Linked DNA regions of Oryza sativa Japonica Group. The protein of the gene in region 1 binds, or shares a complex with, the protein of each later gene. Links are inferred from orthologs where the notes say so. Each region holds a gene or a part of one and is shown in the gene's direction. Other genes may lie near its edges.

What was found.
Region 2: pheophorbide a oxygenase, chloroplastic-like (region 1) and pheophytinase, chloroplastic share a complex: the UniProt entries of both Arabidopsis thaliana proteins name them as parts of the SGR1-CCE-LHCII complex. The link is inferred for Oryza sativa Japonica Group from reciprocal best matches to the Arabidopsis thaliana genes ACD1 and PPH.
Region 3: pheophorbide a oxygenase, chloroplastic-like (region 1) and red chlorophyll catabolite reductase 1, chloroplastic share a complex: the UniProt entries of both Arabidopsis thaliana proteins name them as parts of the SGR1-CCE-LHCII complex. The link is inferred for Oryza sativa Japonica Group from reciprocal best matches to the Arabidopsis thaliana genes ACD1 and ACD2.
Region 4: pheophorbide a oxygenase, chloroplastic-like (region 1) and probable chlorophyll(ide) b reductase NYC1, chloroplastic share a complex: the UniProt entries of both Arabidopsis thaliana proteins name them as parts of the SGR1-CCE-LHCII complex. The link is inferred for Oryza sativa Japonica Group from reciprocal best matches to the Arabidopsis thaliana genes ACD1 and NYC1.
Region 5: pheophorbide a oxygenase, chloroplastic-like (region 1) and 7-hydroxymethyl chlorophyll a reductase, chloroplastic-like share a complex: the UniProt entries of both Arabidopsis thaliana proteins name them as parts of the SGR1-CCE-LHCII complex. The link is inferred for Oryza sativa Japonica Group from reciprocal best matches to the Arabidopsis thaliana genes ACD1 and HCAR.
Region 6: pheophorbide a oxygenase, chloroplastic-like (region 1) and chlorophyll(ide) b reductase NOL, chloroplastic share a complex: the UniProt entries of both Arabidopsis thaliana proteins name them as parts of the SGR1-CCE-LHCII complex. The link is inferred for Oryza sativa Japonica Group from reciprocal best matches to the Arabidopsis thaliana genes ACD1 and NOL.

The regions. Positions count from the first base shown.
Region 1 is NC_089037.1:2,583,873-2,588,150, forward strand, and holds the start of pheophorbide a oxygenase, chloroplastic-like, read left to right. Parts: upstream 1-1,478; 5' UTR 1,479-1,511; coding exon 1,512-2,282; intron 2,283-2,383; coding exon 2,384-2,619; intron 2,620-2,706; coding exon 2,707-2,833; intron 2,834-3,359; coding exon 3,360-3,496; intron 3,497-3,636; coding exon 3,637-3,796; intron 3,797-3,997; coding exon 3,998-4,276; intron 4,277-4,278. UniProt on the Arabidopsis thaliana protein: Catalyzes the key reaction of chlorophyll catabolism, porphyrin macrocycle cleavage of pheophorbide a (pheide a) to a primary fluorescent catabolite (pFCC). Works in a two-step reaction with red chlorophyll catabolite reductase (RCCR).
Region 2 is NC_089040.1:14,710,846-14,714,898, forward strand, and holds the start of pheophytinase, chloroplastic, read left to right. Parts: upstream 1-1,253; 5' UTR 1,254-1,466; intron 1,467-1,811; 5' UTR 1,812-1,839; coding exon 1,840-2,490; intron 2,491-2,918; coding exon 2,919-3,145; intron 3,146-3,692; coding exon 3,693-3,884; intron 3,885-3,965; coding exon 3,966-4,053. UniProt on the Arabidopsis thaliana protein: Alpha/beta hydrolase dephytylating specifically the Mg-free chlorophyll pigment (pheophytin), yielding pheophorbide. No activity on chlorophyll. Belongs to the chlorophyll catabolic enzymes (CCEs).
Region 3 is NC_089044.1:13,537,302-13,540,948, reverse strand, and holds red chlorophyll catabolite reductase 1, chloroplastic, read left to right. Parts: upstream 1-1,175; 5' UTR 1,176-1,275; coding exon 1,276-1,647; intron 1,648-2,384; coding exon 2,385-3,002; 3' UTR 3,003-3,147; downstream 3,148-3,647. UniProt on the Arabidopsis thaliana protein: Catalyzes the key reaction of chlorophyll catabolism, porphyrin macrocycle cleavage of pheophorbide a (pheide a) to a primary fluorescent catabolite (pFCC).
Region 4 is NC_089035.1:7,033,609-7,037,665, forward strand, and holds the start of probable chlorophyll(ide) b reductase NYC1, chloroplastic, read left to right. Parts: upstream 1-1,257; 5' UTR 1,258-1,345; coding exon 1,346-1,663; intron 1,664-2,589; coding exon 2,590-2,668; intron 2,669-2,778; coding exon 2,779-2,914; intron 2,915-3,286; coding exon 3,287-3,361; intron 3,362-3,475; coding exon 3,476-3,671; intron 3,672-3,857; coding exon 3,858-3,926; intron 3,927-4,057. UniProt on the Arabidopsis thaliana protein: Involved in chlorophyll b degradation. Belongs to the chlorophyll catabolic enzymes (CCEs).
Region 5 is NC_089038.1:14,944,139-14,948,120, forward strand, and holds the start of 7-hydroxymethyl chlorophyll a reductase, chloroplastic-like, read left to right. Parts: upstream 1-1,182; 5' UTR 1,183-1,280; intron 1,281-2,345; 5' UTR 2,346-2,363; coding exon 2,364-2,672; intron 2,673-2,752; coding exon 2,753-2,861; intron 2,862-2,945; coding exon 2,946-3,030; intron 3,031-3,126; coding exon 3,127-3,168; intron 3,169-3,504; coding exon 3,505-3,583; intron 3,584-3,982. UniProt on the Arabidopsis thaliana protein: Probable iron-sulfur flavoprotein that converts 7-hydroxymethyl chlorophyll a to chlorophyll a using ferredoxin as a reducing equivalent. Catalyzes the reduction of a hydroxymethyl group to a methyl group. Belongs to the chlorophyll catabolic enzymes (CCEs).
Region 6 is NC_089037.1:26,388,996-26,393,209, reverse strand, and holds the start of chlorophyll(ide) b reductase NOL, chloroplastic, read left to right. Parts: upstream 1-1,414; 5' UTR 1,415-1,536; coding exon 1,537-1,786; intron 1,787-2,379; coding exon 2,380-2,448; intron 2,449-2,882; coding exon 2,883-2,944; intron 2,945-3,079; coding exon 3,080-3,166; intron 3,167-3,447; coding exon 3,448-3,515; intron 3,516-3,613; coding exon 3,614-3,662; intron 3,663-3,761; coding exon 3,762-3,847; intron 3,848-4,214. UniProt on the Arabidopsis thaliana protein: Required for chlorophyll b degradation. Chlorophyll b, chlorophyllide b, pheophorbide b and pheophytin b can be used as substrates. Belongs to the chlorophyll catabolic enzymes (CCEs).

The DNA.
Region 1 (4,278 bases):
CTGACCAGTAACAGGTCAGGTAGCTAGCTATCTAAAGTCAGCGCTGTACTAATGCCAAAGCTCTCTCAGAGTTAGCATCAAAGCCACACACTTGTGATGGATCTCAATCTCCCCATCTAGGTTTGCACTAAAGCTCAGGAGGGAACGAAAAAAAGAAAGAAAAATTGCCCCCATTGCTGTCGAGCTATCTGCAGGGAATAGCTTGGCTTTGGTTTGGTGAAGATTTACCGATCGGCGCCGGCGGCGAGGAGGATTTTGTGGAGATTGCAGGGGGGGGGGGGGGGGGGGGGAGGGGGTCTAGGAGTATTCCTTCACCAAGTCAGCAAGCCCATGGTCAGTTGGTCACACTCCAAGCTCTACATGTTCGAGGACATTTACATTGGGCAGGTGGATTGCAGCCTTATGATGATTATTGTTTTGTGCTTCTACCATCTTGTGGCTAGCATATGACAACAATGGACTGCAAGATTGCAAGGTGAGGCTTCATGGCATCTGTTAACCTCGAGCTTAAGTAGCGCATCGCAGTGGGAGGCCAAAGGTTGAGCACGACGATGGGCAGAGGACGAGGTTAAGCAAGGTGCATACCTCCGGTGCAACTTGCAACCATGGTAAAAATATGAGGCCCAACATGCAATTTACTCATAAATAAATGCCATAGTAGTATCAAACGGTTCTGGATCACAAAGTGCACTGATGGGGCGCGGGCGGTCAAAGTTCCGTACACTGCCTGTTCATGTCCACGGCGCCGAACTGCCGAAGTGAACCCAGAATCCAATGGGCGGACCGGCTCCCACAAGCCGGTTGGGTTCGTGTCATTCTCACGAGTGAGTAGAGGTGGCCAAACGGGCGGCCCGGCCCGGCACGGCACGGGCACGGGTCCGGCACGGCCCGTTTCGGCACGGCCCGTTAGGCATGGCTCATGAAACGGGCCGTGCCGTCCCGACCCACGTGCCGAGCCGCCGGCCCAAGCACGGCCCGTGGATGGCCGGGCCGTGCCCGTGCCGGCACGGCATGCGTGTGGCCCGCCGTGTCAGTACGGGCCCGTGAATGAAAAATGGGCCGTGGACGGGGCACGGTTGGCCCAGGAACCGAAATGGCGCGGAGGGATGCGATGCGGACTTGCGGAGGTGGCTGGCGGGCTGGGCCATCAGCTAGGAGGGGTGCTCAACGGACTTGCGGAGGCGGCTAGCGGGCTGGGCCGTCAGTTGGGAGGGATGAGATACGGACTTGCGGAAGGATGAGATGCGGACTTACTACAGTAGCCGTGCCGTGCCGTGCCGGCCCGCGGGCTCGGCCGGCGGCCCAAGCACGGCACGGCTACTCGTGCTGTGCCGGCACGGCCCGTTACTGTAGCAGGCCGTGCCGGGCCGTGCCGGCTACAGGTTCCGCCGTGCCTCGGGCCGCCCGTTTTGGCCCGGCCCGTTTGGCCACCTCTACGAGTGAGTATACCCAGGGAAGTTGGCCGCCGCTGCGTAGCCGAAGCTCCACCACACGACACCCCGCAAAACGCCATGCGTGCTCCTGCTGCACACTTGTCCCCCGCCTCCTCCGCCGTGCCGTCACGCAACCACGGACTCCTCCTCCACCTCCGTTTCCTACTCTCTTCTTCAGTTTCTCACCTCTCCGCACGAGAAAATTCGAATCCCCCTTCCGGCTGCTGGTTTTCGTGCCAGAAACAGGCGATTTTACCAGTGCCAGTTAGCTCTCGCCTTCCTCCTCCTCCATCGTGCTACTACTCTGTTCTTCTGGAAGAACACTGGTCTCCTCGCCTACCTCAGTCACCACTCACCACACCAGGTGCGAGCTATAAAAACCGGCACGCCAAAAATCTTCAAAACCACACAGAAACCTCAGATCTCCGAGGCTTCCCAAGCGAGTCGACGAAAATGCCCGTGATGGCTCCGACCGCATCTCTTCTCCTCTCCCCGAGGCCGCTGCCGGCGAGCCGCCGGGTCCCCTCGCTCCCGGCGCTCTCGGCTTCCGGTCGCCTGCGCCTCCGCCGCGCCCGCGCCGACACACGGCTCCGCGTGGCGGCGCCGCCGTCCGTCCCCGGGGAGGCGGACCAGGCGCCCGGGGAGACCGAGCCGAGCACGTCGTCGGCCGACGAGAAGTTCGTGTGGAGGGACCACTGGTACCCCGTGTCCCTCGTCGAGGACCTCGACCCCAGCGTGCCCACCCCGTTCCAGCTCCTCAACCGCGACCTCGTCATCTGGAAGGACCCAAAATCCGGCGAGTGGGTCGCCCTCGACGACCGTTGCCCCCATCGCCTCGCGCCCCTCTCGGTATGAGTATCGCCACGCGCCCTTCCAATCTCTTCCTCTTTTGCGCCAATTTTGATCCGATTGAATTCACGGCGATGATCTGGATGTCTGTGTGTTCGTAGGAGGGGCGGATCGATGAGACGGGGTGCTTGCAGTGCTCATACCACGGCTGGTCATTCGATGGCTCCGGCGCGTGCACCCGGATCCCGCAGGCGGCGCCCGAGGGGCCGGAGGCCAAGGCTGTGAGGTCGCCGAAGGCGTGCGCGATCAAGTTCCCCACCCTCGTCTCGCAAGGGCTGCTCTTCGTGTGGCCCGACGAGAATGGGTGGGAGAAGGCCACGGCTACCAAGCCTCCGATGTGCGTGTATATTCTGGATTAGTGGTTTATTGATTGAGTTTGGTTAAGGTCGTCGGTGACGAGGTTTGATCCTGTTTTTGATTCCAGGTTACCGAAGGAGTTTGAGGATCCTGCGTTCTCCACGGTGACCATCCAGAGGGATCTGTACTATGGCTATGATACATTGATGGAGAACGTCTCTGATCCGTCGCATATAGAATTTGCTCACCACAAGGTAATGCTACATTTTTTATTTGAGAATGATCAGTTACTTTAATGTACTGGCACGCAATGCTAGTCCTGGATATTGCACATTTGAGATATGAGGATGGTTTGTTGTGTACCGTACTTGCACATCATACCTCAATTTGGTTTTAGTAGTTCTATTTTTGGTTGAATCTCTTAACAGTGGCTTCTGGTGGACTATGATTGCCAATGTTTTGTTTTGAACTGCCTGTTGCACCTTGATATGAAAATGTAGCTGCAGCATCGTTCAGTCTCTTTACTTAAGCTACTGGCTAGTGCTAAAATTGAATAATACTTACTTAATCGAGGCTACTGTATTAACTGTCTGTTATGGATTCATGGTACATGGACTAGAGGTATGATTCATTATCTAAGATGCACTTTCAGTAAATCCACAACTTAGACCATTTGTCTTCCCTTCATTATTCATGGAGCAAAAGTACGATTCCCATGGCCAAAGAAATTGGTTAACTAGGCAGCATTATCCTTGCCTCAAAATTTAACTCCTCTCACAGGTCACTGGTCGAAGAGATCGAGCCAGGCCTTTGCCATTCAAGATGGAATCAAGTGGTGCATGGGGATATTCAGGGTCAAATTCTGGAAACCCTCGCATCAGTGCAACTTTTGTGGCCCCTTGCTATGCACTGAACAAGTATGTTCAGCAAAACACTCTAATCATGCCTTTTCCCATTTCATTGCATTTGCCTTTTGATGTGAATTAGCTCATATATCAGTTTCACATCCAGTAACTCCACTTATGATTCTGATCTTTTAGTATTTCGTTTTTTGTAGAATTGAGATAGACACAAAGTTACCCATTTTTGGAGATCAGAAATGGGTCATATGGATTTGCTCTTTCAACATTCCAATGGCCCCAGGGAAGACTCGTTCTATAGTTTGTAGTGCTCGGAACTTTTTCCAGTTTAGCATGCCAGGAAAAGCATGGTGGCAGGTATCTGCAATTTTTGTAGCTCTCTCTATTTACCTCCTTTTCAATCTACTTGTTAGTGCCCTTTTTAGGAAAACAGCAGTAAAGATCCCCGCTCTATTAAAAATTAGAGTGAATTTTATGCTCTCATTATATCCGAAAGTATAAAGTAAAACCCTGAATCCCCTGTTCTTATACATTTGCTTCTTTGTGTATGTGATGCAGCTTGTCCCTCGATGGTATGAGCATTGGACTTCAAATTTGGTCTATGATGGTGATATGATAGTTCTGCAAGGGCAAGAGAAGATTTTCTTGTCTGCATCGAAGGAGTCTTCTGCAGATATTAATCAGCAGTACACAAAGATCACGTTTACACCCACGCAGGCTGACCGTTTTGTTTTGGCATTCCGGGCATGGCTAAGGAAATTTGGTAACAGCCAACCTGACTGGTTTGGAAATCCTAGCCAAGAAGTGTTGCCTTCCACTGTCCTTTCAAAGCGTGAGGT
Region 2 (4,053 bases), on another chromosome or scaffold:
ATGCCTATAAATAGAGGGAGGAGTCTCACTATTGTACACTTGAGACAATGAATGAATGAGAAAGCATACCACAAACCCAGCACTTAATTGCCTACCACTTGTGGACTTATTGTCTGCCACGATAAAAGAACAACAACATACCTTGGTGTCTCCTGTTGAATGTATTATACTACAAACCTAGCTATTACCCATGTTGGCTTGTGGTTAGTACAATTAGTGCTTCACAATAGTAGCTCGTGAACCAGTCCTTAATTGTCATGAGCACGACCATCAAAACCATATGCTCACAACCTACCATGAATATGGTTTTAGTTGTTAAGATTAATTAACTAATAATGATTAATCATTGTGAGCTATTATTAAATGGCCATAATTAATTATAGATGAAGCATTAATTATCCCAATAGTGTACTAATGTTTCTAAACATGGCTTAAGCCTCCTAATAACTTTAGCTAAAACCACATGATGTTGTAGCTAATCAAATGGCCCGATTCGACCTCTTCTCCTTGCTCTCTACCACCGCCATCTCTTCTTACACATGGATGGCATGGCAAGCGTCGGGACACCCAGATCTAAGCAGAGAAGTAGGTCCAACAACATCTGTCCTCTGGATCGGTTGGTGCTAAGGTGGTGGATATCTGAGCGTACCCAACACTTACGACGTCAAATCTGATAGTCTTATTCATGGGATTTAATAATTTCTCTCTTCTTCCTTCTTTTTTTTCCTCCATCTGGAAGCTTTCATTTTTTTAGACGGCTGCAATTCTCCTCCGCTATATTCGCTAGATAACATGGCTCAATTCCTTCTACCCGTCGGGAGCACGGAAGCAAATACTCGAATTTTACCACGCGTTTCTCTCCCCGATAAAATGGCTCTGAATTCGTACGACGAGTCTGCAAAATATCCAATACTACCCAATGTGCATCGCGTAGTAAACGCGCTGCCGTCAATACCTGGAATTCTCCGCAAAACGGCCAAAATCCCGGTCATTTTCCGCGCGTTTGCTTGCAAACCTCTCCTAACTACCAGGCCGCACAACAAACGAACCGACCGGGCCTGCCCCTTCCTCCATAGTAGTTCCATCATTGTCTCGAAGCCCGAGTTCGACACGTGCTTACGCTAGTCCGGCAGACCGGGTGGAGGCGGATCTTGGCCTTGGCTCGCTGGCTCACGGTGGACGATGTCCACGTGCTGGCCCCCGCGCAGCGTTGGGCTCGCCTCCTCCACTCCTCTCGTCCACCCGAGGATGACGTGCACGCATGGGCAAGCGAGACCACGAGGTCGCCGGAGGAACCGTCTCGCTGCGCGGTGGTTCCCACCTCCGCCCCTCCCCATCGCATCTCGCGCCCTATAAGCGAGCTCAGCTGCCCGCTCCCTCTCCGTTCTGAGCTCGCAGTTCTACTAGTTTAGTTTTTGCGAAGTGTTCTTCTCCAAATCACCTGAGAAATAGGTGTCGATTTTCAGGTATGATTCACCGATTTCTCACTAGGAGAGAGTAATCTGTAATTAGGTGTTTGCTATGTCTTTTTTTCTTCCTGGGGACTCCCTGGCATGTGTGTACTACTCGTGCGGGGAACAGTTCCCGGGTTTCGCATGAATTGCTGGATTTGGAATTGGTTTGCTGGCTGGTCGAAGCTCATTTTCGCTGTGTAGATTAGTTTTATTCTCGAGAACTTAACCCATCTGTTTGATACAGTTAAAATTTTGGTTTCGGTTCTCCCGATCAAATTAATCTGAAGGCTGATAGTTCTTGGTTTCAGTTTTTCGAGTTCGCTCTTTTAAACGTATCTTTCGGTTTATCTGTTGCAGAACTAGCGTGCTAGCCACTAGTGTGGCCATGGAAGTGGTTTCTTCCAGCCACTCCTGCTTGGCATTTAACCGAACACCTAGCAGTGCTTGGAGGTTTCCGGGGAATGGTCTTGGTCCAGGGCATGCAAAGCTCACTCGGCCAAGAAGTGCAATTCTTTGTGTGCGGTCAGGGACAGCTTCGAATCCTGCTGATTCTGGGAAAGTTCATGCGAGCCATGGGTTCTATGTAAGTGATGTCGATGCAGCTCTCCAAGGGATCCCGAAGAAAGTCGGTGAGATCGAGAAGATGATCATTCCGAGCTTGCCAGAAGGACCTGAAAGCTCTCTAATTAGTACTGGTTTCTGGGAATGGAAGCCGAAGCTGAGTGTATATTATGAAAAGTCTGGCATAGACAATAGCAAGGCACCGTCTGTGCTCTTTCTACCAGGTTTTGGAGTGGGAACGTTCCATTTTGAGAAGCAATTGAAGGATCTTGGCCGTGATTACAAAGTATGGACAATGGATTTTCTAGGGCAGGGCATGTCGTTGCCATGTGAAGATCCTGCTCCTAAGAGCACATCAGGAGAGCTAGATGAGGACACATATTGGGGTTTTGGACAAGAATTACAACCATGGGCGGAGGAGTTGGTGTATTCGATAGATTTGTGGCGTGACCAAGTTCAGCATTTTATTGAAGAGGTACTTCTTTCAACTATTTTCTGTGTAGTTTTATGTTTACTTTGCTAAAAAAATATCATCTTTAGTTCACAAATCCTAGTATGCTTTGCACTCTTTGAAGGGCCTGCAATAATAGCTATTTATTAGTTATTGAAGATTCTTGAATCTCACAAACTTCAGCGTTTCATATTCGGTTAATAGAATATAAGAACCGTTATGTTGCCCAAAGCAGGTGCCCTGTTTTTTGGCACACACACTTGTAACACATTCTTTTATTCCAGTATCTAGAATAGAGAGCAAAGGAGCCCTGTTCCCAATCTCATATAGCAGGTTTGACATTTGTGTTATTATGTGTAATGCCAAAGTTCTTAAGTTTACTTATCCATAACAGTCCTACCATGAGATTCATATCATATGTTTCTTATGCTAATTTTGTAACCTTCTTTCAGGTTATTGGTGAACCAGTATATATTGTGGGGAACTCTCTGGGAGGTTTTGTTTCTCTATATCTTGCTGCATCCTGTCCACACCTTGTAAAGGGTGTCACATTACTTAATGCAACCCCATTTTGGGGATTCCTTCCCAACCCTGCTACATCTCCTCGCTTGTCGAAGATTTTTCCATGGGCTGGGACATTTCCACTTCCATCGTTTGTGAGGAAACTTACTGAAACAGTGTATGTGCTACCCTTTAGGTTTTGGGAAACACATGTGCATATTGATATTGAATAATCTTAAATTTATCCCTTCTGCTAATTATTGGTGTACTATTTTTTTTCATTATAATGAATGCATGGAATGCAAAAGTTTTATGATACTTGTAGCAAGGCATAGCATCTGTAGATTGCTACCTTTTGTTTTGACAGAAATTGATTGCATACTTCACCAGTGAAGAAACGATTTAGACTATGTTTAGTTTGCATATGGTACTATAAGTATAGCTAATAATTGTTTTTTCAAAAAAAAAACGTGTTTTTTTATAAAATCACACCTAGATATAAAGTATATTTCTGTATGTCATTTTCTGCCATTATTTTTCCTTTTACATTGTCATTCCTCTCTCATGTTAGGATGGTAGGCTGTGCAATGTATTGGTGTTTTAACAGATTAAACAAGCTGTTATTCAATAGCAATTGTGTGGTCCCTGCATCATTTAGAACTATGCAAGTTATCCATGTGGTGATATAAATTTGGTGGATCTCATTTAATATCTTTTTGGTGCAGGTGGCAGAAAATAAGTGATCCAAGAAGTATACAGGGCATACTCAAGCAAGTATATGCTGACCACTCAACGAATGTGGACATGGTGTTCTCGCGTATTATAGAGACAACACAACATCCAGCAGCTGCTGCATCATTTGCATCCATTATGTGTGCTCCAAAGGGACAAATATCCTTCGAAGAAGCTCTATCTAGGTAAACTGGATATACTATTTGATGAATTGCCATGTTGCTTACAAAATACGATTTTGTATTTTTACATTTCATAATCTGCAGGTGCCAAAGGCAGGGTATTCCCATATCTCTTATGTATGGGAGAGAAGATCCTTGGGTTAGACCTATTTGGGGTATTAAAGTGAAACAG
Region 3 (3,647 bases), on another chromosome or scaffold:
AGTTCTCATATATAAATAAAAAACGAATTCATTCAGTGATTTAGAGACAATGACAAATCATTTGTTGGTTGCGGATCATCTCACTCAACCACACTTCAGTGATTGAACATGGGTCGGGGCCCCTATTTGACAAGGGAACTGAACCCATTTCATTGACCTTCGAACCGCTCTTGCCCTCCCCTTTCACTTCCATAGTGGTCTTCTTTGGCCGGCCCACTCATTTCACTCTCAAGCTCTCTGAGAAGATTCAAGATGTTTCGAATTCTCCTTCAGTAATATGGCCCCCACAATAATTAGAGGGGGGAAAAAGGAAAATGAAGAGCTAGTGGACTGAGGAAGAAAGCTAGTGTGCAGCATCTGGCCTTTTGTGAGCTTTGGGCCTTGGCCCATGGAGCGATAAGCAGCAACAGCAGTGAGTGATCAGCAGTAGCAGATGGCCTCAAGTGTATTAAGGTTTAGGTGGTGTGTTTAATCTCCTGAAGATAAATATAAAGATGAAGATTAAGTGTTTCACGCAAAACGATGTAGTAATAATATATGATTAATTAAGTTTTAATTATTACAAACTTGAAAAATGGATTAATATGATATTTTAGAACAACTTTCATATAAAAAGTTTTCCCACGAAACGTATCGTTTAGCAGTTTGAAAAACGTGTCACGAGTATCCAAAAGTTTATCCAACTTTTATTGGAGAAAAGAATAGGGCATAAGTATCACCTCGGTTCCCAAGCTTATGCGCTACATGGTGAGCTGCCCAGTCATTAGCATGGTACTTCCTCCGTTTTATATTATAAGATTTTCTAACATTACCCACATTCATATATATGTTAATAAATCTAGATATATATGTGTCTAGATTCATTAACATTTATATGAATATAGGGAATGCTAGAAAGTCTTATAACCTGAAACGGAGGAAGTATAAAAGAAAAAAACCAACTCATGTGGTGTTTGCGAAGGAGGGACTAAACTAGTCATTTTTGTGATTCCCAAATACCACCTCAATTGGCATTATCTCACATTTCAGTAATGCAGTGTCCGTAAAAAAAACAAGGCATTTGCAAATTGCAATAGATAATGTCTTGGAATCTGATGGATTTGTAACAGCAGCTTTCAGATCTCTCTTTCAATCATCTCCTATGTATATACTGCACTAGTTACAAAAGTAAAAGAGGGATAGTTCTACACGTTCACGGAATCCTTCTCACTCCCTCTCGCTCACATTCATCTCTCGCTCCGTTCGTCCACGCGTCGAACACCTCGCCGTGATCCAATGCTCCAACTCCGCTCGCCGCCGCCGGCGACCAGCTCGCCGTCCTCCGCCGTCTCCTTCCCGACCCTCGCTCCTCGCCTCCTCCCCCTCCGCCGCCGCCGCCGCGGCGCGGGTTCCCAGCTCGGGGGCAAAACGTCGAGCGCCGTGCGCGCGTCGTCGGCGGCGGCGCCGGGCGCGACGGAGCCGGAGGTGATGGTGGAGGTGGCGCACCGGGAGGTGGCGCGGGCGCTCGCGTCCCTGGCGGAGGCGCGGCTGGGCGCGCGGCTGCTCCCCTCCGCCGTGCCGCCCGACGTCGCCGAGTTCCGCAGCGGCGGCGGCGCCGGGAACGCCGTGGGCTCGCTCGACGTGCGCCGCGGCGCGCCGGGATCGACGGTAATGGCACCCCTCCTCTCACTTTTGCTCGTCAGATCGTACAGATTTACCTGTTCTGTCGATTGGAGAACATCAGAATCAGTCATATGAATTAGTGAAATGGTAGTGGTAAACTGGTAATGTCTAGAGCACCATCAGAATCAGTCATATGAATTAAGTAGTGAATCATATGAATTAACTAATTAAGTAGTGAAATGGTAGTGGTAAACTGGTAAAAACAGGCTGGCACAAACAGAGCAGAATAGATCAATGGCATGTCAAAAGACTTGGACAATTTACTGAAACTGTTTTACACTGAAAAATTGCTGCCGAACTATTTGTGATTTGCCCTATCAAGGTGAACTTGCAAACTTTTAGAAGCCAAGATCCATAATCCAACTCTTCGGAGCAAATTATGACTTTTCATTATATTGGCAATGCTCAAATTAGTTCATTTGCTTCCAATATCGAAATGGAAACAATTGGTCTGTTCTAGAGTTTGTACCTCATTCGTGATTCTTCCTATCACTCACAGATTTTGTTTCCTCTCCAAAAACAAAAAAACAAAATCACTCCAACTGAACGGACACAATTGGAGTGGCCAAAATGATCAACAGCATTCAAATTATGAAACTAATCTCACCACTTGAACACCTGAATTATGCTCCCTAGTGCTCAGTAGCTTAGCGTGGTAGAATTTCTTGAGTTCTGCAAGGAATGACAAATGGAGTTAAATTATTAATTTTTCTTGTCTACAGATTGATTTCATGCTCCAGTCCTCACTACACTGCAAAGTCCCAAATGGCGCAATCGACATTACATCTCTTCTCATCTTTCTGAACGCCTCGACAGATGCTCCGCATTTCCTCATGGAATTTATACAAGGTAGCCCAACTTCGATCGTGGTGCTTCTGGACCTTCTCCCACGGAAAGACCTTGCGCTCCATCCCGAATACATAGAGAGATACTATGAGAATACTCAGGTGGACAAACAGCGTGAGAAGGTCGAAGAATTGCCGCAGGCCCGTCCATACCGATCGCGATCCCTCTTCGTGCGCAGCACCTTCTCACTGACAGCAATACTGATGAGCATCGACTGTGGGCAAGGAGGAGAGGGTACCTTGGAAGAGATAGTGCGTGGTCAACTAGCAACAGCTGCTAGGGCACTTCTTCAAATTTGGCTTGATAGTTGTGCTGATCATACTTCAGAGATGGAAGAAGGCGAGAGAGAAAACATGATAAAGAGGGACCAAATTGTAAGGTCCAAGTCAATCGAGGTCGACCTGACTTCAAATTTGCCGAGGATGTTTGGTCCCGATGTCGCAGACCGAGTCATAGCTGAAATCCAGAAGGCCTTTGGGGTACAAGAGGCCTAGCTTTAGAACTGTGACCAGGAATTCATCTGTACATCATTCGAAAGTAATGTTAGTAGTCTTTTGTCCCTTTTGCTTGAACAATCAGATATATTGTGTGATTATAAATTTATAATTGCAAATACCATCAGATGTCATAATTTTGTCTATACAATTATACAAACCAATGTAGTGTTGGTTTTCATGCCGATTTTTTACTCTAGCCGTTTCAACCCAAATCTCGGCCTCCTCTAGAGATACATCGATGCCCTCATTAAAAGAAAGTGCCCAAAAAGATAATATAATTTATAAGTACCAGTAAACTGATTTCACGGGTGGTTTCCTCAATTTCTTAAAGAGAAAGGACAGTCAATTATTTTATTTTACAAATGTATTACTAGTTAATGGATAACTTTACATACCGTGTTTACATATTCTCATCCCATTAAAAATTTGCGATGAATCTAACTGCCTAATTTCATAGATCAACGCACCAGTTTATGACAAAATTGAAATGCTATCAATCAGAAATTCACTAACTACCAGCCATACTAATCCTGGCTCCCTACAGCTACTCGCAGCTCTAGAAGCACACATGGCACAAAACATAAACTCCAAGTTTTTTGGAGAGTTGTTTTTGCCTTCTCTTTTCGGTTGAAATACACAATT
Region 4 (4,057 bases), on another chromosome or scaffold:
CTCAAACACTCCTTGGCCCTGGCTCTCCCCTCGTCGTCATTATCCAGCAGTCAGAGAGTGCTACTACACTAGCAAGCGGTTGAGTGCACGCATAAAGAATTCCTCAGCTTACATACGGCCAGACAAATCACCTGTACGTTCAACTGTTCCACCAGTAATGACCACACCTCCTACGCGTCAACACTCGACACGCGGGGGCCACTGACCCGTCCGGGTCAGCTCAGTTGCGTGTGCGTGCCAAGCATTCCGTGCACGCAGCAGCAAGCACGATCGCTCGCATCGCGCGCACGGGAGGCATTCGCACGGCTGATTTACCTGAAACACACGTACTCCACTCCTCTGCGATTTGGCTGCCGCGCGCGCCCGCCTTGAGAGATCGATTTCCAGCGAGTTAGTAGTTACCGTCGACGACGACGACGAGGTTGATCGAGTTACTACCTGTTGTTACCGTGCGGAGATATTTCCGGACGGTGACAACGAAAATATCCTCGGTTTTGCTCACGCTCCATCTGGGACAGCGAGGGGTTGGTTTGGGGGAGGCAGAGAGAGGAGGGCGACCCCAAAAAGCTAAAGCAAAGCGACGACGAGGAGGACGCCGACGAGGCGGCCCGCTGCGGCCACGTGGCGCGTGGCGCCGGCGGGGATGAGGTTGCTTCAACGTGTGGCCACCTCGTCTTTGTGCTTGCGCCTTCCCCGCAACCTAGATCTTTTTTTGTCCTCACCCAGTCACTCGTCCGAACACTTGTCTAATCCTCTTGCCAAACTAAAATTAAAACGTGCAGCATGATAGTAAAATTAACGCTGTCGTGCCAATAATTTCTTGACGACAACGACATACTACCTCCATTTTTTAAATAGATAACACCGTTAGACTTTTTCTCACATGTTTGACCATTCGTCTTATTCAAAACATTTACGTAATTATAATTTATTTTGTTATGAGTTGTTTTATCACTCATAGTACTTTAAGTGTGATTTATATCTTATACATTTGCATAAAATTTTTAAATAAGACGAATGGTCAAATATGTGAGAAAAAAATCAACGGCTTCATCTATTAAAAAATGGAGGGAGTATAATGTTGAAATTAGAGGTAGATAAATTTTGGGAACGAAATTAGGAATGACTTATATCTCAAATCATAATTATGGTTCAGTTTAACCCGATGGATTTGGACCTGAACGTAATTTCGAAACTTCCCAAGGGTATTTCACCAAGCCGTACGCATTATTTAACCGATGGTGAAGTGGTGAGCACACGCCCTCTCCTAAAACCAAGGAACCCAACCCCACAAAAAAGCGTAGGACGCCGGAGTGCGAAATCCTTATCCGCTCGCGGCGACGCCATGGCCGCCGCCGCGGTGGTCCACCTCTCCGTGCACGGCCGCCTCCGCCGCTCGCCGGAGCTCCACGCCCGGCCATACCACCGCCCGTCGCTGCTCCGGTGCCGCGCGTTCAAGCAGGAGGCCGATAACGGCGGGGAGGAGGCTTCGTCGTCGCCGCCGCCGCCGACGACGGCCGAGGCGCGGAGGCGCAGGAAGGGCCCGCTGTACAAGCTGAAGGCGGCGATTCAGGGGCTCGCCGGGTCGCGGTCGGCGGCCGCGGAGGCGTACGGGGGCGAGTACCAGCGCGCCGTCGAGAAGGCCGAGGAGATCTTCTTCTCGGTGAGCTCCATTCCTGAACCCCCTCAAGCTCCCCCGCAAGCGCAGTTTCTCTACATGATAATATGATAATATGTTTATGGCCGATTTTTTCATCTGATCGTGTGATCTACTAGTACGACTGCCTTTAATTGTTGCCACGTATCGGGAGGCTCAACCACTCAATGCGTTAGCGAGCGCTACTACCTTAATCAGCTCTTGCTTAGCTGCATATGGGAATTGCACCCATCAGATGCTACAGCTACAAGTGAGTTTAGGCGATCTATGTTGTTTCAATGGGTGTTAGGATCCAATACACTAGCTGTGGCACAAATCGATGAGCTGATCAACACTAATCAGCTTGTTTCTTACTAGTAATACAGTAGGCTCCAGTTACTGTGAAATTCTGTAATGTCAGTTCCCTTTATGTTTATGTGCTGGAGAGCAAATTCTGCCTGCGCTAAAATTAATCGCAGGCCTGTGAAGCAATTTGCCTGGGCAGAGGATGCGGCTCGTAGCCAGAGGTGTCATTTTGTGTAGCCTTTGTTGCTTTTGAAACTATTTTAAACTTCTTTGAAACTCGCTCTTGATTAAATTTACTTCGCCCCTCATTTATATGGGCCTAGATTCTCTGGTTCTTGCATCTACCATTGTATGGGGGGCATGGGCTGCCAGGCTCATGGTTTTACATGTCCGACTGTAAGTGCATGCACAGGCCTGCTTTATAGTTCAATTGAATTGCTTCCTAGGCATGCTGATTCTTTGTATTGATATAAATAAAATCTCCGGTATCGGCTGATTCTCTAACCTAAGCACATCAGTAATTTTCTATTTGTTGCAAACCTGAACAGAGTGGTTCTGAATTTATCACTACTGAGTTGTAGGATCAACTCCTTTTCTGAAATAGGTGTTCTTTTTTTCAAATTGACTTATTTCCTTCTCCTTTTCAGGTTGCTACGCAAGTAGGCCGATATGTTATCACTATGATGAGCAGCGGTGTTGTACTTGGAGTTGGATTTCAGTTATCAGGTTAGTTACATTCATTTGATATATTGCATTGCCTTTGGATACTTCTGTTTTTTTCCCTACAATGGGCATTTTCAGAGTTTCAGTAATGACCTAGCTACCTTTCTATTTAGGCGGAGACAGCCAAATGAATACACTAATTTGGTATAGTTGGCTCGGGGGAGTAATTATTGGCACGATGATAGGTGCAAACAGTGTCCTAGAGGAACACTGCAAAGCTGGACCTCGCAATGTTGTCATAACTGGAAGGTAACCCATTTTGCATTCTTCCTTTCACATGCCATCTGAATCTTTTGCTAGGAAGCATGCATACTGTGAGTACAGGTCAAAGGTAATAATCAAAACTAATGAATTTATTCCTAGATAGGAAATACTATTTCACCTTCTATTATTCTCTATTTTCTTATTTGATGAGTGGAGTATAACCATAACAATCACCAAGTTTATACGGGTTGGTGCATAGAGGAGATTATGAGGTGCAGTCATATGAACAAATCATTAAAGTAACCTCATAAACATGTTAATATAAACATGACTTCTCATTGCATCAATTGTGAGCTGATTTCTTATTAGTATCCATGTTCTGCAATCAACATTGAAGTTATAGTTTGATTTTGGCAGCACAAGAGGATTAGGGAAAGCACTTGCTCGGGAGTTCCTTCTTTCTGGAGATCGTGTTGTAATTGCTTCACGCAGGTGGTACTCATAGACATGTAGCTCAATGTGTGTTGTTGTTGCATATCCATGATATTCTTTTTATGAAATGCAATGCGTTGTCCTAGTTTTAAATATCCTATTTTTTGAAGGCAGCCCTGAATCAGTCCTTCAGACCATCAACGAGCTTGAAGAGAACATACAGGAGGGCTTGTCAGTTGCGAAAAAGAAACAGAGAGAAATTTTGCTACATGCCAAGGTTGTTGGTACATCATGTGATGTTTGTAAACCAGAAGATGTGAAAAAGTTGGTGAACTTTGCCAAGGATGAGCTTGGATCAATTGATATTTGGGTAAATAATTTACTTTTACATATCTATCCCCATCATTTATTCTGCATTATTTCACGGTAGGGTACTCAGTTGGATACTTGGATTGAGTGCACAAGTTTTTGTACTTATAACCTTTTTATTTTGTTCTGTACTGTGGCATCGCAGAATGTACTTAACATGTGCTATTCTTCTTATTCTTATGTATAGATAAATAACGCTGGCACAAACAAAGGTTTTAGGCCACTGGTAAACTTTTCAGATGAAGATATTTCTCAGGTACGTTAATTATCTTCGGAAAATCAGAGTCTTTTCCATTCTAATAGAGTTCATAGAACTATATTCGTCATGCAACCTGACTTAGTTATTTCATCTTATTTTTCTTTCTGCTTAGCCTAAACAACATTATT
Region 5 (3,982 bases), on another chromosome or scaffold:
AGGAGCACGGATCTAGCGTCTCCGCTCTTCGTTGGGTCGGCTCGTGCCTCCTGAGTTAGTAAGCTCGACACCCTGACCTCAATGGCAACTGTGATAATAGTGTGCATGACGATGGGGGAGGAGAAAATACATGTCGGTAACTGGAGGGTGCGACTGTGCATGCAAAGACGAAGAGGAGGAACGATAGTGGCTTATGGAGAAAGAGCGGTTGGTGGCGATGCGTGGAATGATAATTAGGCCCCGTTTGGTAGGGCTCCAAACTCCAACTCCTATTTTTACTCTAAACTCCAACTCCAGTGAGAGCTAGCTCTGATTGGAGTTAGAGACTTGTTGAAAAGTGTTTGGCTAGCTTTCAGCTATAAATCTGAAAAAAATAAAAAAAATAATAATAAAAAAAGAAAACCCAGTCGCTGGCCATCCCCAGGCGCGCCGCCGACCGCTGGCCACGCACCGCCCATGCGCCGTCCCGGGCGCACCGCCCGTCGTTGTCCCGGCCGCCGCCGATGCTGCCGTCGCCCGCCGCCGCCGATGTAGCCGTCGCTCGCCGTCGCCCCGCTGACGTTGTCTTTGCTACTGTCGCCCGCTGCCGCTGTCGCCCGTGCCGCAGACGCTGTCGTCACCCGCCACTCGTCGTCACCGCTGCCGCCCACGCTGTCGTCGCCCGCCACTCGCCGTCGACGCTCGCCCGCTGCCGCTGGCTCCTGCCAACGCTGCCGACGCAGTCGCCGCCACCCGCCGATGCAGATCGGGAGGGGGATGGGAGGATGAGAGAGAATGGGGGAGAGGAGGTGTGGAGGGGTAGTTGGGTGGCATTTTTGTGAAAATAGGCTAAAAATTAAAGGGTAGTGGGTCTTTTGGGGTGAAGTGGAGCTGTAGAGTAGCAAAAACTCAGCTCCACCCCTAGTACAAATTTGTGGAGTAGCTCTGTTAACTCTGCTCTGAAAAACGGAGGATTTGGACCGTTTGGCACAGCTCCAGCTCCAGATAAGTTGAAGTTGGGAGGTAGAGCTGTGCCAAACGGGGCCTTAGTAATTGCTGGTGGTACGAAGAGTTTGTTCTCGACATAATCCCTAATCGAGTTGAGTAATTTATTTTTTTTTCATAGTATTGCTAATACGTGGCCCACTCGTCATCATAAGGAAAAATGTTGAGATAAAGGTAGCGTAAAAGAAAGAATCTCCCGTCTCGTCTCCTCCGCTCGTTGCGCCAAGACGAGTCGCGGCTGAACAGGGGAGGGGAGGTGACGAGCAGAGCAGAGCAGGGGAGGGGAGGGGATCCTGGTGAGCCTCTTTCTGATTCATCTCTCTCTCCCACCGGGACTGGAATTTGCTTGCGTTCGTTCGTTAACCCTAGCTTCTCTTCTAGATCTGGAAGAAGCTCTCTTCTCCTCGTTAATTTCAGAGCCTTAGCCTCTCTTAATACAAGTAGTAACAGTTTGTTTGTTTGTTCCCCCAAAATTCCCAAGTTGGATCCGCCCCTGGCTCTAGCGTTAGCACGGCTGGTACCTAGGGTACCTGGAGCTGATATGTTGAACCACTGGTTGATGATATGGTTTATGGACCGTATAACTATATAAGAACGTATGATGGTGCTTGTAAGGATGAGATTTCCCATATATATTATCCACCAAAATAGATTTTCTTGGTTTAGGCAATGCACTGTGCATCTGTTGCATGTCACTTGAAATAGGGCGACAAGTACCCCGTATGGGACATCGTAGATTTGTAGATGAATGCCAGCCATCGATTCAGGTTAGATGCAAACTTGTTTGATGGCTTAGGTGAGTTTCGGGCAGCATCTACGCGACTTATACTAGAGAATAAATAGGGAGTTAACACAAGATCTTCCATACAGCACTTGGGAAGATTGAATAGCTACCTAGCCAGTTAAATGAGCGTTTTTCTTTTTTTCATCCCTTCTATATAGCAACAAGAAGAAGAAAGTAGGTTACTTCATAGCATCATATATATACAGACAGTGGTGGTTTTAGATGACTATGGTGCTGTTAAGATGCGAGGGTGGTATGTCGGTGGAGTGGGTGCAGCGGTAGAGGAGAGGACTGAGGGTGGGAAAGATGGTGTGGGTGGGGAGAATCTGAGCCTGAGGAAGAGGAATGAGACAGATATTCACTTGCATTGGTAGAAGTTCCTTTCTCCTATTTTCATCCAAAAAAAAAAATCCTTTGCCCTACAGGATTAGAAATAATTATATGGTAGCGTGCATCATTGTAATTTTAGAAAGTCACACTTGAAAAATGTTTAGTACTTTTATGCAGGTTGTTAATTCATTCTGTAGATTAATTCATTCGGTAGATTATCATATTTCCACGTGAATTTCACATGCAGGCTGACTATTCAATATCCATGGCGCGGTGCATCTCCTTCCTGTCTACCTCCTCGTCCTTGCCATGTGCCACAAAACCGCCCTGCTGCTCAGTGTCCTCTGTCTTACCCTCGTCTCCGTCCTCTCATCAATGCCGAGGTAGGAAAACGAGTTGCGGGTCAATTAGGGCGCTGCGGGAGGATTGGAGGGAGAGATCCAAGGCCATCCCTCCTGGTGGCGTCTACCCAGCCAAGGACCACTGCAGCCAATGTGGGCTTTGTGACACCTACTACATTGCGCATGTCAAGAATGCCTGCGCATTCCTAGGAGATGGCATGTCCCGTGTCGAGGTATCATGCTAGTCTTTCCTTCCTTCATGCATGCGTTATTTCTTTCAAGCTAGCTAGCTTACCAAATCACATTTAAGTAGGATTTGGAGCCATTGGTCCATGGGAGGGGCAGGAAGCAAGACATGGATGAGATGTACTTCGGAGTGTATGAGCAACTCCTATATGCCAGGAAGATGAAACCTGTTGAAGGTTTGCTCCTTATCCACCATTTTTTTCTAGGCCACAAGATTGTGGTTACATATATGCTAATTAATGGCCAAGTAATTTGTGCAGGAGCCCAATGGACAGGAATAGTGACAACGATTGCGGTTGAGATGCTAAAGGCAAATATGGTTGATGCTGTGGTTTGTGTACAAAGGCACCTAAACAACAATCAAATATTACATAATTGCTTTCCGTTGCAAAAGGATTTTTTTCATGGTCTTGAGAAAACTGTTGTTTGTCTCCTCTGCAGTGACCCAGATGACAGGCTTGCTCCAATGCCTGTTTTAGCCAGGTAGGTACTAAGACAATGGTTGCTTGCTACTTCAGATTTTTTTTTTTTTCATATGGCTTGTGCTTACAACTTCTTACTTAAAGTACATTTGCATTTTACACTTATATGGTTTTATGGTCCATGAGGAGGTAACATGAGATACCACATTTTGTAGTATAAATTTTGGCACTTCCCAATATCTGTGATAGAAGATGAGGTACCTCTCGGTATCTCCTCAAGGACCATAGAATCACTCAAAAGTAAAAACCTTGCTTCCAGTCTACTGATTAACTACTTGTGCTGCTCATGCTTGCTAGAATTGAAGCAAAATTTGATTGATCAACTATTATCTCGTAGGACGCCAGATGAAGTTATTGCAGCCAAAGGTGTGAAGCCAACATTATCACCTAATCTCAATACGCTTGCGTTGGTTGAGGTAAATCTATCTCTTGTGCACACTATGCATCCTTTTTTTGGGTCACTAGCTCCTGTGTCTTGTCCCCTGCCCTTCAAAACCTATACAGGCATATGGGTGATTACGGCAGATATCTTTTGCCTTGGACATGAACTTGGAGTCATTTTTTCCAGAGCATTTTTACCTCATCCCCTTTCTAGGCAATTCGAATTTAGTTTGGTTTCAAAGGAATCAGAACTAATGTTGTTCTATTCAACCTACAAGATCAAATTTTACTTAATGTCATTCCAGTAGTGACTCTAAAGGCAAAACAAAGTCCAATTTAGGCTATTAGATTCTACAATCAAGACCATAATGATATGATGACAATATGACATGATAGTTGGTCCATACTCTATCTTCCTGACTAACTCTGTCAAA
Region 6 (4,214 bases), about 24 Mb from region 1:
ATGAAGTGATTGTCAGGTTGTGTATGCAAAGAGTTTACTGAGGCTGAGGACGAACTTATGCAGATCAAGACAGAATATTATGCTCTGCAAATGCAGTGCACAAGGATACTACAATTAATTTGGTTGGGAGTATATGCGATGTACAGCCAGCATGTGCAAACCAGCAAGCAACGCTCACCGCGAGAGTGGCATGGTGACAGCGACGAACTGATCGAGACTTAATAGTATCACTAGTGCAGAAGCAACGGCAACATATCGATCGTAGTACTACTAATTACTACCAGGACACGTGTAATCACTACCCCAGATGCAACAAGAGAAGGGTGGCGTTTCTTCCCAGTAGCCACATTTTCCCTTTGTCTAACTTATGAATCAAGTATGCACTAACACTACAGTCCATAAATCCCAAGTGTTCCTTACCTGTAAAACTGAAACACCCTGCTCAAAGCCAAGCAACTAACTGAGTTTCTAAGCAGCATAAAAACCGAAGCAAGCAATTAACCCATAATTAATTAATTATTAATTATTATAAATTTGATAAGTTGGTCCATTTGAATCCTTTAGAAAACTTCTATATTTTTTTTTAAAAAAACACTTTTTAACAGTTTGAGAAATGTTCTAACGAAAAACGAGAAAAGTTGAAGTTTAGAGTTAGAGTCTAGAACAAAGCATAATCATCTTACTTTCATCCCCTTCTCATCATGTGTTTCTCATAGGTGTGTAACTATATAGGATCCAATACATTCTTCCCAATTTATAATTATATATGGTTTAGCCCATGTTTTATTCTCAATTCACTCATCCAGTCAATTCCTAATTATATGGTTTAGTCCGTTGCATGTTACTATAAGAAAGGAAAAGAAACTATTATAAAAGGAACTATTGTAAAGCTTCGACTCCAGGTATTCCTAGTCTCCTGGTAGCTGTGGAAGGAACGAAACTCCAGGGTTTTCGACTCTGCGCTCGCTTCGGTCGCAGTGGTTCTGGAGTCCATCCGCTCGGAGGGCCAGCTGTGGTCTTTAGTCGGCGTTGCTTTTTTTGGGGATTTATTGGGAGTGTAGCGTGGCTTTGCCCCCTCCCGCTGTTTGGAATTACGTTTTTAACCGTCGTAGTAGTTCCTAGCTTCAAGTCCCCCCTTTAGGCATAAGCCAATCTGGCTGATTGCTTTGTGTAACAAAAACTCTTTTCCTACTAATATATTGACGTGCAATTCTTTTGCGCGTTCGAAAAAAAAAACTATTGTAAAGCACATGCATATAATAGTTAAAAAAACCTTGCAAAATAGTACTAGTACATACTACTAGTAGTTTAAAAGAGAGAGAGAGAGAAAGGATGATTGCTCACACTGACTTGTGGGCCACCTCCACCTCTTAACATCCGTACTTAACTCGCAGGCCCCCTCCCTTCTAAAATCCTCGCTCGTTAATCGTTATCCAGACTCCGCGACGGCGAGCCGGCAAGGCGAGCACCGCAGTTGACGACGCCTCTCCACTCCGCTCCCCTCCCCTCCCCTCCCCTCGTCTCGCTACCGCCGCAATGGCGGCCACCGCCGCCTACCTCCCGCTCCGTGCCCAGGCGCAGGTGGGCCTGGCTCCGCTCCGGCCGTCGGGCTCGGCCGCTGCTGGGGCGCGGTTGCCCGGCCGGACGGCGCGGCGCCGGCTTGCGGCGAGAGGCGGGCCGGAGGCTGCCGGTATCCGCGCGGAGGCTGTCCCTGGTGGTGGAGGGGTCGCGCGGAGGGCGGCCATGGTGCCCCCGTATAATGTTCTAATCACCGGTTCCACGAAAGGTGTTGTTGAGTTCTCCCCCCCTCGTCGTCGTGTTGCTTCGCATGCTTGATCTTGCTTACAAGAAAGAAGTAGGATGTCTGTGGATGCTTTTTGTTGGGATGCAATTTAGTAGGAGCATATAGGAACTGGTGGTGATCGATATTTCTGAAATTCTGAATGCTTGTGTTGGAAATAATTCAGATGGTCAGGGTGTGGTGTGGTGGCGATGTTGTTTTTTCGTGCCTTATGTAGCCGAGAAGAGAGCAACACCAATTTGGAAGTAGGGGTGGAAGTGGGTAGTGCCGCTACCAGCATAAGAACCTGCTTAATTAGTTCATTTCCTACTTTCTAGTACACAATTTAGAAGACAAAATGAACTAGAACATCAGTGCATTCGGCATTGACCTTTTAATCAAACAATGCAAATCAGCTTGAAACTGTGTGGAGCAATTGCTTTGATACTGTATTGTGGTAAAAAAATATTTAAATCCTGACATATTAGATCTTTTGGTCAATGGTGGTAGAGGTATATCTCCTAAACGCTTCCTTTGTGGAAGCTTGTTTCAAAAACCTTTGTAGTACAACTCAATGACCCTTGTTTGCTCTTAAACAGGTATAGGATATGCTCTGGCAAAGGAATTTTTGAAGGCTGGCGATAATGTTGTAATCTGCTCAAGATCAGGTACAGAAATGATTTTGTGCTTTCAATAGGTAGCGCTAGTTTTAGTAATTATTTTTGAGTGATGACATAAATAAAATTGGATAAATTATCGAGCCTAAGATGCATTGCAAATTGATTTGCATGGTCAAGTCTCGTTTACCTGTTTCTTTATTTTCCTCTCTTCTCATTTGGATGATCCATTGACCTAACACTAAAATATGCACTATCCAGCTTTTGTCATTTGATGCTCATTATCGCTCATTAGGTGCTCTATATAGGGGTCATCTGCTTGATATGACTGACCTGTTAAATTGATCTTTCATGAAATTTTAAAATGAATAAACAAATGGATTGCTAGGATTTTCTTGAGCCCACTTTTAGTGAGAGAATGAAAAAAAAAAAAGCAAACAAGTTACAGTTTAGCCTTTCCTTGACATGCAGTCTATCCTCTACAGCTGAAAGGGTAGAATCTGCGGTGACTGACTTGAAAAAGGAATTTGGAGAGCAACATGTGTGGGTACCTACTTCCTACTGCTGAGCTACTTGATACTTTTACTGCCATTGGAGTCTCCACTTATAATTATGTTTGTTGAAAATTTTACAGTGCAATAATACTTATGCAACTGAACTGCTTCTATTTGTATTATTGCAGGGAATTGTCTGTGATGTTAGGGAAGGAAAGGATGTAAAGGCACTAGTTGATTTTGCACGTGACAAGATGAAGTATATTGATATTTGGGTACATAATCACCCCATCATCATCAAATATCTGCACATGAACTTACTCATGTTTATATTCTTTTCATATGTACAAATATGAAAATCACTGGCTATAAAGTTATGCTGATTCTCACTACATACTCATGAGTGTTCGAAATTTCTCAGCTACCCTTTTTGAATATTTAAACTTCAGTAATTTAATTGAAGCACTCAGTTATGTAGTGTTGAATCTTTTTGGGTAAAATCTAGAACCATAAGAAGGCAGGATTTTCTCCTTATCTTTGTGTTCCTTTGGCACAGATCAACAATGCTGGATCAAATGCATATAGTTACAAACCGTTGGTCGAGACCTCCGACGAGGCTCTCATGTAATTTTCATGCTGTCTTTTTATTTATGGCTTGACCAAATACATTCAATTGTGCTTTCAAGCTATATTCAAACTCCACTCTTTCTTTGATTTAATAGGGAAGTGATCACAACTAACACTCTTGGATTAATGATATGTTGTCGTGAGGTATTTCTTTCAACTCATACTAGCTTTCTGAATTTCATTACAACAACTGTGAAGATTCATTTTCCAAATATTCATCTTCTTGCCATCTTGCCATCTTAGGCAATAAATATGATGAGAAACCAACCTCGAGGTGGCCACATATTTAACATCGATGGTGCTGGTTCTGATGGAAGGCCAACCCCAAGGTATGCATTTCCATTTGTTCTGTTCTGTAGTAAAATGTAGACACTCAATGTGCAATTCAATCATTATATCATTATGTTTGAATTCTCATACAGTATGAAGCTATGAAATTTCACATCATGTATTATGTCCTTTTAGTTTATTGCTAATTGCTAATAGGAGAGTACCTATGATTCCACATAACTGTGCCTCATAAGTTTCTGTGCTGAATTTGGCTTCCATATAGACATATACTGTACTGTTATCAGTAGTTTCAACCAAATGAAAAAATTACACCACTGCGGTGGCCCCCGCGCGCGCGCGTTGGGGGGTTGGGGGTATCAAGCGATATTAAATATAATTATATTTTGGTAACTAGTGCTTTTGTGG